2 linked regions of the Drosophila melanogaster genome follow. Changing the gene in region 2 together with the main gene of any one other region gives a genetic interaction. Each region holds a gene or a part of one and is shown on either strand. Other genes may lie near its edges.

What was found. Genes that interact genetically often act in the same process or in processes that back each other up.
Region 1: of p (region 2) and Rab32, changing one enhances a phenotype caused by changing the other (phenotypic enhancement), as found in Drosophila melanogaster (one study listed by BioGRID).

The regions. Positions count from the first base shown.
Region 1 is NT_033778.4:9,177,322-9,183,059, forward strand, and holds Rab32 (Rab32), read right to left. Parts: upstream 3,978-5,738; 5' UTR 3,838-3,977; coding exon 2,428-3,837; intron 2,026-2,427; exon of another isoform or gene 1,905-2,025; coding exon 1,509-1,904; intron 1,429-1,508; coding exon 1,285-1,428; intron 1,224-1,284; coding exon 1,113-1,223; 3' UTR 543-1,112; downstream 1-542.
Region 2 is NT_033777.3:8,667,678-8,672,329, forward strand, and holds the start of p (pink), read right to left. Parts: upstream 3,008-4,652; 5' UTR 2,823-3,007; intron 2,252-2,822; coding exon of another isoform or gene 2,148-2,251; exon of another isoform or gene 1,852-2,147; intron 1,498-1,851; exon of another isoform or gene 1,404-1,497; intron 1,029-1,403; exon of another isoform or gene 935-1,028; intron 532-934; exon of another isoform or gene 439-531; intron 360-438; exon of another isoform or gene 191-359; intron 96-190; exon of another isoform or gene 1-95. Other genes in the region: CG8036 (uncharacterized protein), read left to right, coding at 2,148-2,251, 4,034-4,652. UniProt on the Drosophila melanogaster protein: Has a role in the biogenesis of eye pigment granules. Eye pigment granules are specialized forms of late endosomes or lysosomes. Biogenesis of pigment granules in the eye requires molecular components required for protein delivery to lysosomes.

The DNA of each region.
Region 1 (5,738 bases), on a different chromosome or scaffold from region 2:
TCGATAGTGGTCCCGTTCAGCAGCAATTGGTAAACGCATATTCACGGTATTCTCGGAGTATTTAAGTTTCAAGCTTAATTCACTTTTGAGTCAGGATGTTTGTTTGTGCCATAAAACATTTTATAAAACCAAATTGCAATTAAACCTGATTCCAGCTTTTTCCCAATTTTTCCCATACCAATTACCAGTTTATACGTTTCGCTTTTCATAACGATTAAATAATTGCTAATAATTTTATGTAGAATATGAACGCACGACACTTTTATCTGTATATCATTATTTTTAAGTTTAATATGTGATCACTAAACAATAAGGAATACCATAGTTGATAACTATCGATAGTTTGAATATTAAAAAAAAAGAAAAACATTGCCGGTTGGGGATACGATTTTTTACCGTTAAAAAAGGAAATGTAAAAACAAAGCTTTTATTCGTATTTATTTACAAAGACCAGTGATTCAATGAAGGCAAATACTAGTAGCATAACATTTTCATTGTATCACAAAAGCACTTACACAGAATTTATTCAGCCAATAAAACACGTCGTCTGAACTTAACTACCATTAAAAACTTTATTTCTGATTTCGCATTGCATTAAGCGTACGTATTGTTATCTAAATACAAATAATGATGGCAGAGTGTGTTTGCATACGAGAATAATAATTCCAAGATAAAACAATCTCGCCAGCAGAGGCAAATAAAACAAACAAAACAATAAGACGATTCGCATTTTACACAAATGTAGTATGCTATGATACGGATGCTGCACTACCTCCGGCTAATCCTCGCAACTAGGGCAATGATGGTGATAGTAATAATGTTTCGTATGCGTAGGTATGTTATGTGTCACCATATAAATTCTCAAAGTGACACGGATCCCGATGCCGGCGCAACATTGTGGACCCACAGACGGGGTGTTAAAGATAAAGACGGACGGGATGATACGGATGACACTAAGTCTTAGACAAATGTTACGTTAAAACCCTAAGCATAGTTATCGCTATCTTCTAACAACATGAACATGGAGTGGACGTAGGCACATGGCGTTTCTGTGTTGAAACTCGCTCTTAAACTGGGAATGGGAATAGGAGTCGCCGGACCTCGGTCCCAGGTCAGCAGGAACACTTGTTCTTGGCATCCGATCCGGTTGCATCGGCCGCGCTCAAGTTGAACTTGTCGCCATCGGCCAGATCGGCAGATATCAGCTTATCGTTGATGAGTATCTGTCGGGCGAGTGGAAGAAGATTAGCGGGGCTTTGGCTGGGCATTAGCAGCGATTATCACCTTATTCACGAGGGCACGAGCTGCCTCATCGATGTTGATATTCTCCTTGGCGGATGTCTCAAACCAACCGGCAAATCCGTTCTCCCTCACATACTCATCCATCTTCTCGGGCTGCGTTATGATGCCCTGCTTTTCCTGGTCGCACTGGAAAACGGATGAGCAACGTATTAATCACATAATATAGAAATTATGCGGTCTCCTTTAACCTTTAGGCAATCACTTACTTTATTGGCCAGCAGGATGCACGGAATGGGACTGCCGTCCGGCAGCTGCACCTTGGAGTCTAGATCTTCCTTCCACTTGCTCACGCAATCGAAAGTCCCACTGCGAGTCACATCAAAAACGATGAACGCGCCCACCGCCTCCTTGTAGTAGACACGGGTCATGTTGCCAAACCTCTCCTGACCGGCGATATCCCACAGCTGGAGGCGCACTATCGTATTGGCGTCCCACTGCAGCACTTTCAGGGCGAAGTCCACGCCGATGGTGGCCCTGTAGTTCTGGCTGAAGAACTGGTGCACATAGCGCTTAATGAAGGACGTCTTGCCGGTGCCCAGTTCACCAATGACTAGAATCTTGTACAGATGCTCGCGCTTATCGCTGGTGGATGTCATGATGGCCTGCAAGCAAGGATTGGATGAGAGTTACTTGTATGTTCGATCCATGCTTAATAGAATAGTTTGATAAATTTGATACACTAAACAATGAAATCCCACTTGTGACTTGAAATCTCAAGATAAAGAGATACATACTTTTGGGCTCTGGGTTTCAAGATACAAATATAAATAATCCGTGCATTTCGAATTATAATAAGTAGTAAAGTTTGTTCTATCATAGCACGTTTACACTCAGTTATATAAAAGCATATCAATATATAATATAGGAAGTGAGAATTCACCACTTTAATAAATTCTAAGCCTGGTATTAGTTACACCTTCTGCTGCTCGTCAATCCGCACTGAGATTTGCTGGTTAGTTGACGAGACCCCCTGGGCTATTACCACCGCCCGCCGCCCGCACAGTTGAATGACACTCTGGAACACACACTATAAGGGGGCCAACATATCACTTGTGGGGCTTCTTCGCTTCTTCGTAGGTAAATGACAACTGGCGAATTGGCAATCCGACGACGACGAGACCTTACCGGTTCCATTTCCTGATCCATGGTCAGGTCACCGAAGGCCGGCATGGGCTTGGCGTTCTCTGGCTCTGTGGTATCCGCCTGCTCCTCGCTATCGTCCTCGGATCCGGAGTCCTGGTTGGAGTATTCACTAGCCACCGACTGATAGTGCAGTGTTTCCCGCCTGCCCTCGATGCTGTCGTGGTCGCCGAGGATGAGCTGCTGCTGAGCGAAGCTGAGACGCCGGATGCTGGAGTCGCTGAGCTCTTCGTTGGAGTTGGGCTGTTGACTGGCGGCGGCGGCCAATGCGGCTTCGTAGGCACTCAAGGGACTCCTGACTGCACTGCCCACTTCAAAGCGGACAACGGGCGGGGGATTAGCAATAGTCTGGGCGCTTTCCGCCGAGGAGACTCCGTCCTCAGCCGCCGGAGGGGATGTGGATGGGTCCAGGGATTGCTGCCCTGATGGCTGGGGTTCCGTGTTCGCTAGTTCAGCCAGTGGTCTGGCGTTGAGGCGGTGGCCGCGCTGCTGCTGCTGCTGCATCAATTCCAGCTTCCTGCTGGATGCGCTCGAGGATTGGGACTTGCGAACAGCTCCGGTGCCGCTGGCTGACTGAACGCGACTTGGTTTTGCTGGCGCCCGTTCTCTGGGCGGCGTATCGCGCGTGCTCTCGGTGGTGGTGATAAGCGGCGACGGCGACGCCGATGGGGACTCTCTCTCGGGGCTCTGGGGCTTCTTCTTCGACACCAGCAGCTTGGTGGTGCGGGTGCTGCTGCTCGTATCTCTCGTGGTCACGGTGGTGGTAGTGGTTTTCTTTCTCGGTTTCCTTTCTTCTGCGGCGGGTGTCAGATAATCCGTGTCGCTCTTGGGTCTGCTCTTGCCGCTCTTCTTGGCGGGCGATGGCTCCACCTTCTTGCCACTGATGGTGATCTGCAGCGTGCTGCTGCCGGCGGAGGTGGGCGAACCGGGTGGCGATGGCAGGGGTGTTGTTTCCAGGTGCTCCACGCTGATGTCGTCGCTGGTCGCCAAGCTGTGGGGCCGCCCCTTCGGCGTTTTCCCACTTTTTCTCAGGCCTCCAAGAAGCAGGCGGCGCGTCAGGCTCTTTTTCTTGGTCTTGCCGAGGGCTCCACTGTCCGTGGAGATGGAGCTGGCCACGTCTTCGAGCTCGCCTGGGGTTTCCTGAGCCTCTTCCTCCGCGCTGCGTGTTTCCCTGTCGGTGCTTTTATCCAGCTCCCTTTCCCTTTTGGTTTTGGTCTTCGAGAGGCTTCGCAGAGCCGCAGTGAATCGGGAACGGCCCTTGATCTTCGCGGTGGCCTCCTCAGACTCGTCTTTCGGATCCCCGTCCCCCTCCTGGCGGTCACCCTTTTCCTCCGATTGCTCCGATTCCGCTCTCTTTGTAGCTGCTTTTCCCCGCTGCTCGTCCACGTTGGGCATATTTTCAACTGACGCTGTTGATCCCTAGCGATTCTACACAGATTCCATTTGCTCCAGCTTGATTTCCAGTCCTGATCCTGCACGATCCTCGAGCTTTTTTTTTTTAAGCAACCGTTGCCCAGACTAAACGAACGCGCACTAAAATCCCCAGTGCCGACGACTAGGCTTTTATAAATTTTGTATTCGCCCCGTTGGTCCCGCCCCCGCACCATCCCCTTTTGTGGTGAGAGGTTTAGCATTACAGTTACGAAAATCGCTATAGCTGGCCAGGTGCTTACCAACACTGGTTGCCGCCTCCAAATCGCTTGCGAAATGAGCGTGAGAAGAGCCGGTGGGCCTTTGAATGGGCCGATTGGACGGCTGGCACCCGCTTATCAAGCAATCCCCGGACAAAGATTGGCCAGTGTCCGGTGGCCCGCCATAATCGACGCCAGTTGTCCGGCTGGTTAGCCCTGCTCCGGAATCACTGGGCTCTATAATTTGGATCGAGGTAATGCATAATGCCATGATGCCGTGATGCTACGATGACGAGCACCCAATCATCCGGCACAACCAGTGGAGCAGGGCGCCCAGTGTCCATATCTGGACCTGACCTCTCCAAGCAACCCAGAACGTGCTCCGCCGCACTTGGCGGGCTTCCTTTAAGCTGAGGATTTGCCGCATCAACTTGTCCCAAAAGAGTCGCTCGGCATTAAGTGGGCGACACATCAATCTGGCGGATTGGCCGCTGTCTTGGCCGACTGTCGACTTACTGCTCGACGTGACTATATAGAATTACGCTTATTACAAAACGTGGTTAGCCGCAGTGCATCGAGCAGAGCGACAGGGAAGGAGATATGTGGCCCATATACGATTACCCAAGTAATAACCCGAAACGCAAACGGGATGGCACACATATGTATGTATGTATGTATGGATAGATCGTATCTTACAGATGTACGGAAGTTGCTTCAGATCTGACTTAATTAGATATTACAGTTCCTTATACAGGCACTTTGCTGCGGTTGCGATATCATTGAGCAGTGGGGTAGTTATCAATACTTTTAAAAATGTATAGTATTATTACCAAACACCCTTTTGAACTTATAGTTTGACTATAAATTAAATTAAAGAATAATTTATTGGTAAAAACAATATTTGCCTATATTTGATTAGCTTTATGCTTATCACTAGGGTTAGTAACCATTTCAGATTCCTTTAAAACAACCCATTTGCAATATTGCTAGATTACTACTTATCCATCCTGTTTTCTGAAAGCCGTTTTCTTTTGGAGCACTACATCATTGAAAGTGATTGTTCTTTGATGACTTATATTTTCCTATAAACTAATAGCTATTGGTTATTTAGACCAGGCATTAATCAATGCGATTGCACAGTAAAGTAAAGCGTTCTAAATGTAATTCACCATAAAGAGCGCTGTCTGTAGCCTAACCGATTTGCACATTCTGAAATCGGGGACAAGTCAACAGTCGAATCAGCTTACATAATTCATGGGAGATTACAGCAAACACATTTTCTCAAGCCTTAAAAATTCCAGTTACGGAGCAGAGGGCTTTTAAACCATAATGTGCCTTGGAAACCGAAAGCATTAGAAATTCACTTTCGCATAAATGTCGAACGTGGAAGAGTTCCTTTGTGCCCGCAGATGTTTACACGCAATCCAGCCGGAAAACAGAAAACAGAAGAGCTATGCGAAGCATTCGGCCTCCATCTGAAAGTCAGGCGCCTGCAAGTGCCCCCTGACGACCCCATTCCGAACAAAAGCCACACGGATGCCCCGATGTGGCGAAGTCCTGCACGGACTTCTTTTCCGTAAATCGGATACCGAATGGCAGTGGCTAGGAGCCCCCCACCCGCATCGGCCAGCAATCACGTGCAAGTGAGCTCAACAAGAGGAAGTG
Region 2 (4,652 bases):
GGTATTCATAAGTCCGTTCTAACACTTGGATCTGCATATTTATTTGTATTTGTGACAAAAATATCGACTTGTACGCATAAATAAATAAATTAAATAAATAAATTATTGAATGAAAATGTATAATTTTAAATAGTAAAACACAAGTCGAAGAAAGTTTTGATTTTTTAACGATGGGGAGAGATCTGTATTATAAAAATCAAGTTGTGCTTTTGGTTTTAGGCCAACAAAAGTCTATAATTCAAAACATATGTAGATATCCTAAATTATTTGAAAGTCTTTCGCATTGCACTCGTAAATTTTTTGTGGATACATTTACTCGAACTTAGCTAAGGTGTGGTAAAAAAGCTAATAAGGATAAGGTAGGTGGAAATGAAAAGGATTGACTAAGCTGAATTCAAGAATGCATTAAAAATGGCTTGTAAAAAATTCGACAAAAAATCCTTCGAGCCGGATTTGAACCAGCGACCTATGGATTTCTATTGCATGTTTTCCAACTACAGTCCACCGCTCTACCAACTGAGCTATCGAAGGGGGCGTGCTGGGGAGTAGGTTAAACAACGGGTATCCGATTCATCGCGACTCTTCAATAAACTTTTGTTGGTAATCGGTTTAATTAATGCGTATTTTAGCTTTTAATGGATTGAGGTCACGGACAGCATATGCCATGTCGTTCAAATACCTTTTCTTTTGATTGTTGCTAAGCTAAAATTAAATAATATATTGATGTACGCGTAAAGTAAGACATGTTCATTTTCACGTGTTTTTAAAATTGATATTCTTCAAATTATTATTCATTTTATATAACATTGTGTTTATAAAATGTCTTTTGCATCTACATGTTTATAATTGCATACTATTTTATATATTTTTTATGGGGTACGGGTGCTACTATAAAAACAAAAACGAATTGGATATTACAAAAAATTACAAAAAATCCTTCGAGCCGGATTTGAACCAGCGACCTATGGATTTCTATTGCATAATTTTCCAACTACAGTCCACCGCTCTACCAACTGAGCTATCGAAGGTTGAGTTCAAACTTGGCCGTTGTTCGTTTTATGCATGCGCACAAACGAAATGCACCGTATTTGGTTATTTATTTTTGATTTTTACTTATTTAGGTCAAACAAAATTGATCAACTTTCTCTATTCAGTCCATTGCAGTAAGCCTATAGTTTCCAAGCCTAATAGCCTAGGCGCTTTTCACAAACTATATCAATTTAGTTACGGTTTATTTCTTCCAAATAAAATCCTTCTTATATTATTTAGTTTAAACAGCTCAGTTATATTCTGAATGTCTGTAGATGAATTAAATTGATTTAAATTGTGCACTACAAAATATATAAAAAAAAAGGTATGTGCACTACAAAATATATAAAAAAAAGGTATTTATATCTTTTCGATCCTTCGAGCCGGATTTGAACCAGCGACCTATGGATTTCTATTGCATGTTTTTCCAACTACAGTCCACCGCTCTACCAACTGAGCTATCGAAGGTTAAATTCGCTTGCGGCTAATTCACCTTTTGTTCAGGAGCGAGGTGGGGAAAGTGACAAAAAGAGAGGGCACTTCTCTTAAACACCGCTGCTCTTTAATACTCGCGGCCAGAAAAATAGGACCTTAAATTCTTGTAAACTTATATTAAATACTAAAGCATTGTAAATCTTAATGAGAAAATATTCAGGTACAACTGTTCATGGCTTAATTTTAGACCAAAATTGTGCATGAATTTAGAAAGGCAGCAATGCACTATTTGAAACTAACTAGTTACCCACCCACAGCTGTGCACCGATAAAGGGGTGGTGTGCGAGCAAAGATGCCATATTTATACATATATCCATCTCGTTCCAGCGCCGACGATAGACGATACCGATACTTTGCGAGTCCGCTCCCAAGATTGAGCCCCCACAGCGTAAAAGCGACCGAAGTGCCGGCGACGAGAGCAGTTCGTTCCCAGAAGCCGGCAGCAGTGGTCCGTTGATAACTCCGACTCGAGCTACTTATCCACCACGTCGATACTCTTGTCTGTCTATTGCAAACATAGAGGAGTCACCCTTTGGCTAACGAATCCGAAACTCCCGAGTTTTGTTGTGCAACATATCAAAAACCGCATTTGTTCGGATCCAATTTACATTCGCATTTCAAAGATGTCGTACCACAAGCCCGAAGCTAAGACCGTCCAGGATCTGAAAGATCTGGCCCAGAAACTGCGAATTCACTCTATCAACGCCACCCAGGCCTCCAAATCGGGGTAAGTTTATCAATAACTGAAAGTCCATAGGCATATTAAAGTGTGCGTATTTAGATTTGTTTGTGTAGATGTGAATTTTAAAAGTTGTGCACCTTGCACTTGTTGCTTCAAAGGTGACCCCCTCCATTTCCAGGGTGGGTGCGAAAAAGTTTTTGAGGGGGCTGCTAAATACATACATACATATGTATGTGTTTTGAAACATTACAAAAGAAAATAAAACAAAAATAGTTACGCATATACATAGTTATGCATCTATGTTTGTATGAATGTGAGAAGTAAAATATGGGAAGACCGGTTCCTTTAGTGACCCCTCCTGGGATTCAGTTGCCAACCCACGTGTTGTCCAGTAGCTTTAGTGAATTTGCGAATTTGTTGCCCTGCCTGCGTGCTCAGTGATAAGCCGCGTTCACCTACCTTAAATTGTGAGCTAATATTTTTTGACCTTAGACAACCTTGAAACGTTAGGTTTTTCTTACTGCCTTTTAATTTCTTTTGCTTTTGTTTTGTGCGTGGCGTTCAAAACGCCGAAAGCACATACATATGTACATGGGGTAAAAACAAACATACTTACATATCAAACAGAGGCATTTAATATACGTATGTACATATGTACATACAAGTGTTGGAAAGCACAGCTTGTGACGGGAGTGGAATTGGAAAGAGAGGGATGAGAATAGTAATGGAATGATCCCCTACACTTGAGATTTACGACTGTATGGCTTTTAATGTAATTATATCTCGGATAGACGCGATCAAATTATTACTGCAACAGTAAATAAAAAAGTTACTATGCTGATAAGGAAAACACTTTTATCGCCTCCATTAGTTTTTCCATTCTGTTTCGTTTTTTTTTTTTTTTGTGACGGTTCAAGATAAGATCTGCTCTGTTTGCTCTAAATGTGACCTCTGCCGACGAGATAAGCCCGGTTTGGTTACTCATTGACCACGATATGACCGATTAGAGGTGACCAGCTCAAGTGTGTTCCCCGCATGATAATCGAAAATCACTGAAAACTGATAAAAAAAAAAAAAGCGCGCCGGGTCACTGCTAACACTCCGTATCACCTTCAATAGTTCTTGATATGGCTGCAGGAAACGGGGACGCACTTCGGAACTATCTAGAAGCACGTGCGTTCACAAAGATCGCCATGCAACACAATCGTGGAAGCCAAGAATTTGGTTTTTAAGGCTATTATTTAGGTTTTTTGGTGATCAGAAAAGTTCAAGGTCCCAGAAACCGGTGAGGAATTGCGATGGACTCACGTCGCGACAAACACACATATCACACCATATAACGCCAATAAATACATATGCATGTACTCGTTATAGTTTATTTATATGTCTGGGGTAAGACGAGCCCCCCATTTTGTCTGGGGTTGCGTGTTTTCTTTGCGGTTGGAGTTGTGCCAGATCTGCGATTCAAAGCAATTTTTTTTGGAACACGATCGCATGGGAACATTGAATTCCAAGAATGGATCTTATCTTATTTATATGTACATTGCAATTGGATACTCGAGAAATCTTCATTTGAAATATGAACAGAGGGGGGGGGGGGGGTTTAAATAAAAGCTTCAATAGACAAATGGATTTCTTTTATTAAACAACGTTTTTAACAAGTATGCACAGTGTTCAGTTCCACTTTTCCTTTGTTGATCGGCCTTCACTTACCCACCGTGAGGTCGACTTCTATAATTCATTAGGCACTTACCTTAACCTAGAACTACATGCAAACGAAATGCCTTGTCACAATCTAATATTTTGCCTACTTTTCCCTCTTTATAGCCATCCCACATCATGTGCCTCGATCGCTGAGATCATGTCCGTGCTGTTCTTCCAGCAGCTGCGCCTGAACCTGAAGCACCCACGCGATCCCTCCAGCGATCGCTTCATCCTGTCCAAAGGACACGCTGCTCCCATTCTGTATGCCGCCTGGGCTGAGGCTGGTCTCTTCCCCATCGCGGATCTGAACAACCTGCGCAAGATCGACAGCGATCTGGAGGGTCACCCGACGCCTCGTCTGAACTTCATCGATGTGGGCACTGGATCCCTGGGACAGGGTGTCGCCGTCGGCGCTGGCATGGCCTATGTGGGCAAGAACTTCGACAAGGCCGACTACCGCACCTACGTGGTGGTGGGTGATGGTGAGTCCGCCGAGGGTTCCATCTGGGAGTCGCTGCACTTTGCCGGCCACTATAAACTGGACAACCTTTGCGTGATCTTTGATGTGAACCGCTTGGGCCAGTCGGAGGCCACCTCCCTGCAGCATAAGCTGGATGTTTACCGTGATCGTCTGGAGGCCTTCGGCTTTAATGCCGTCGTTGTCGATGGTCATGATGTCGAGGAATTGAGCAAGGCTTTCCATTGTGCTGCAATCACCAAGAACAAGCCCACCGCCATCATT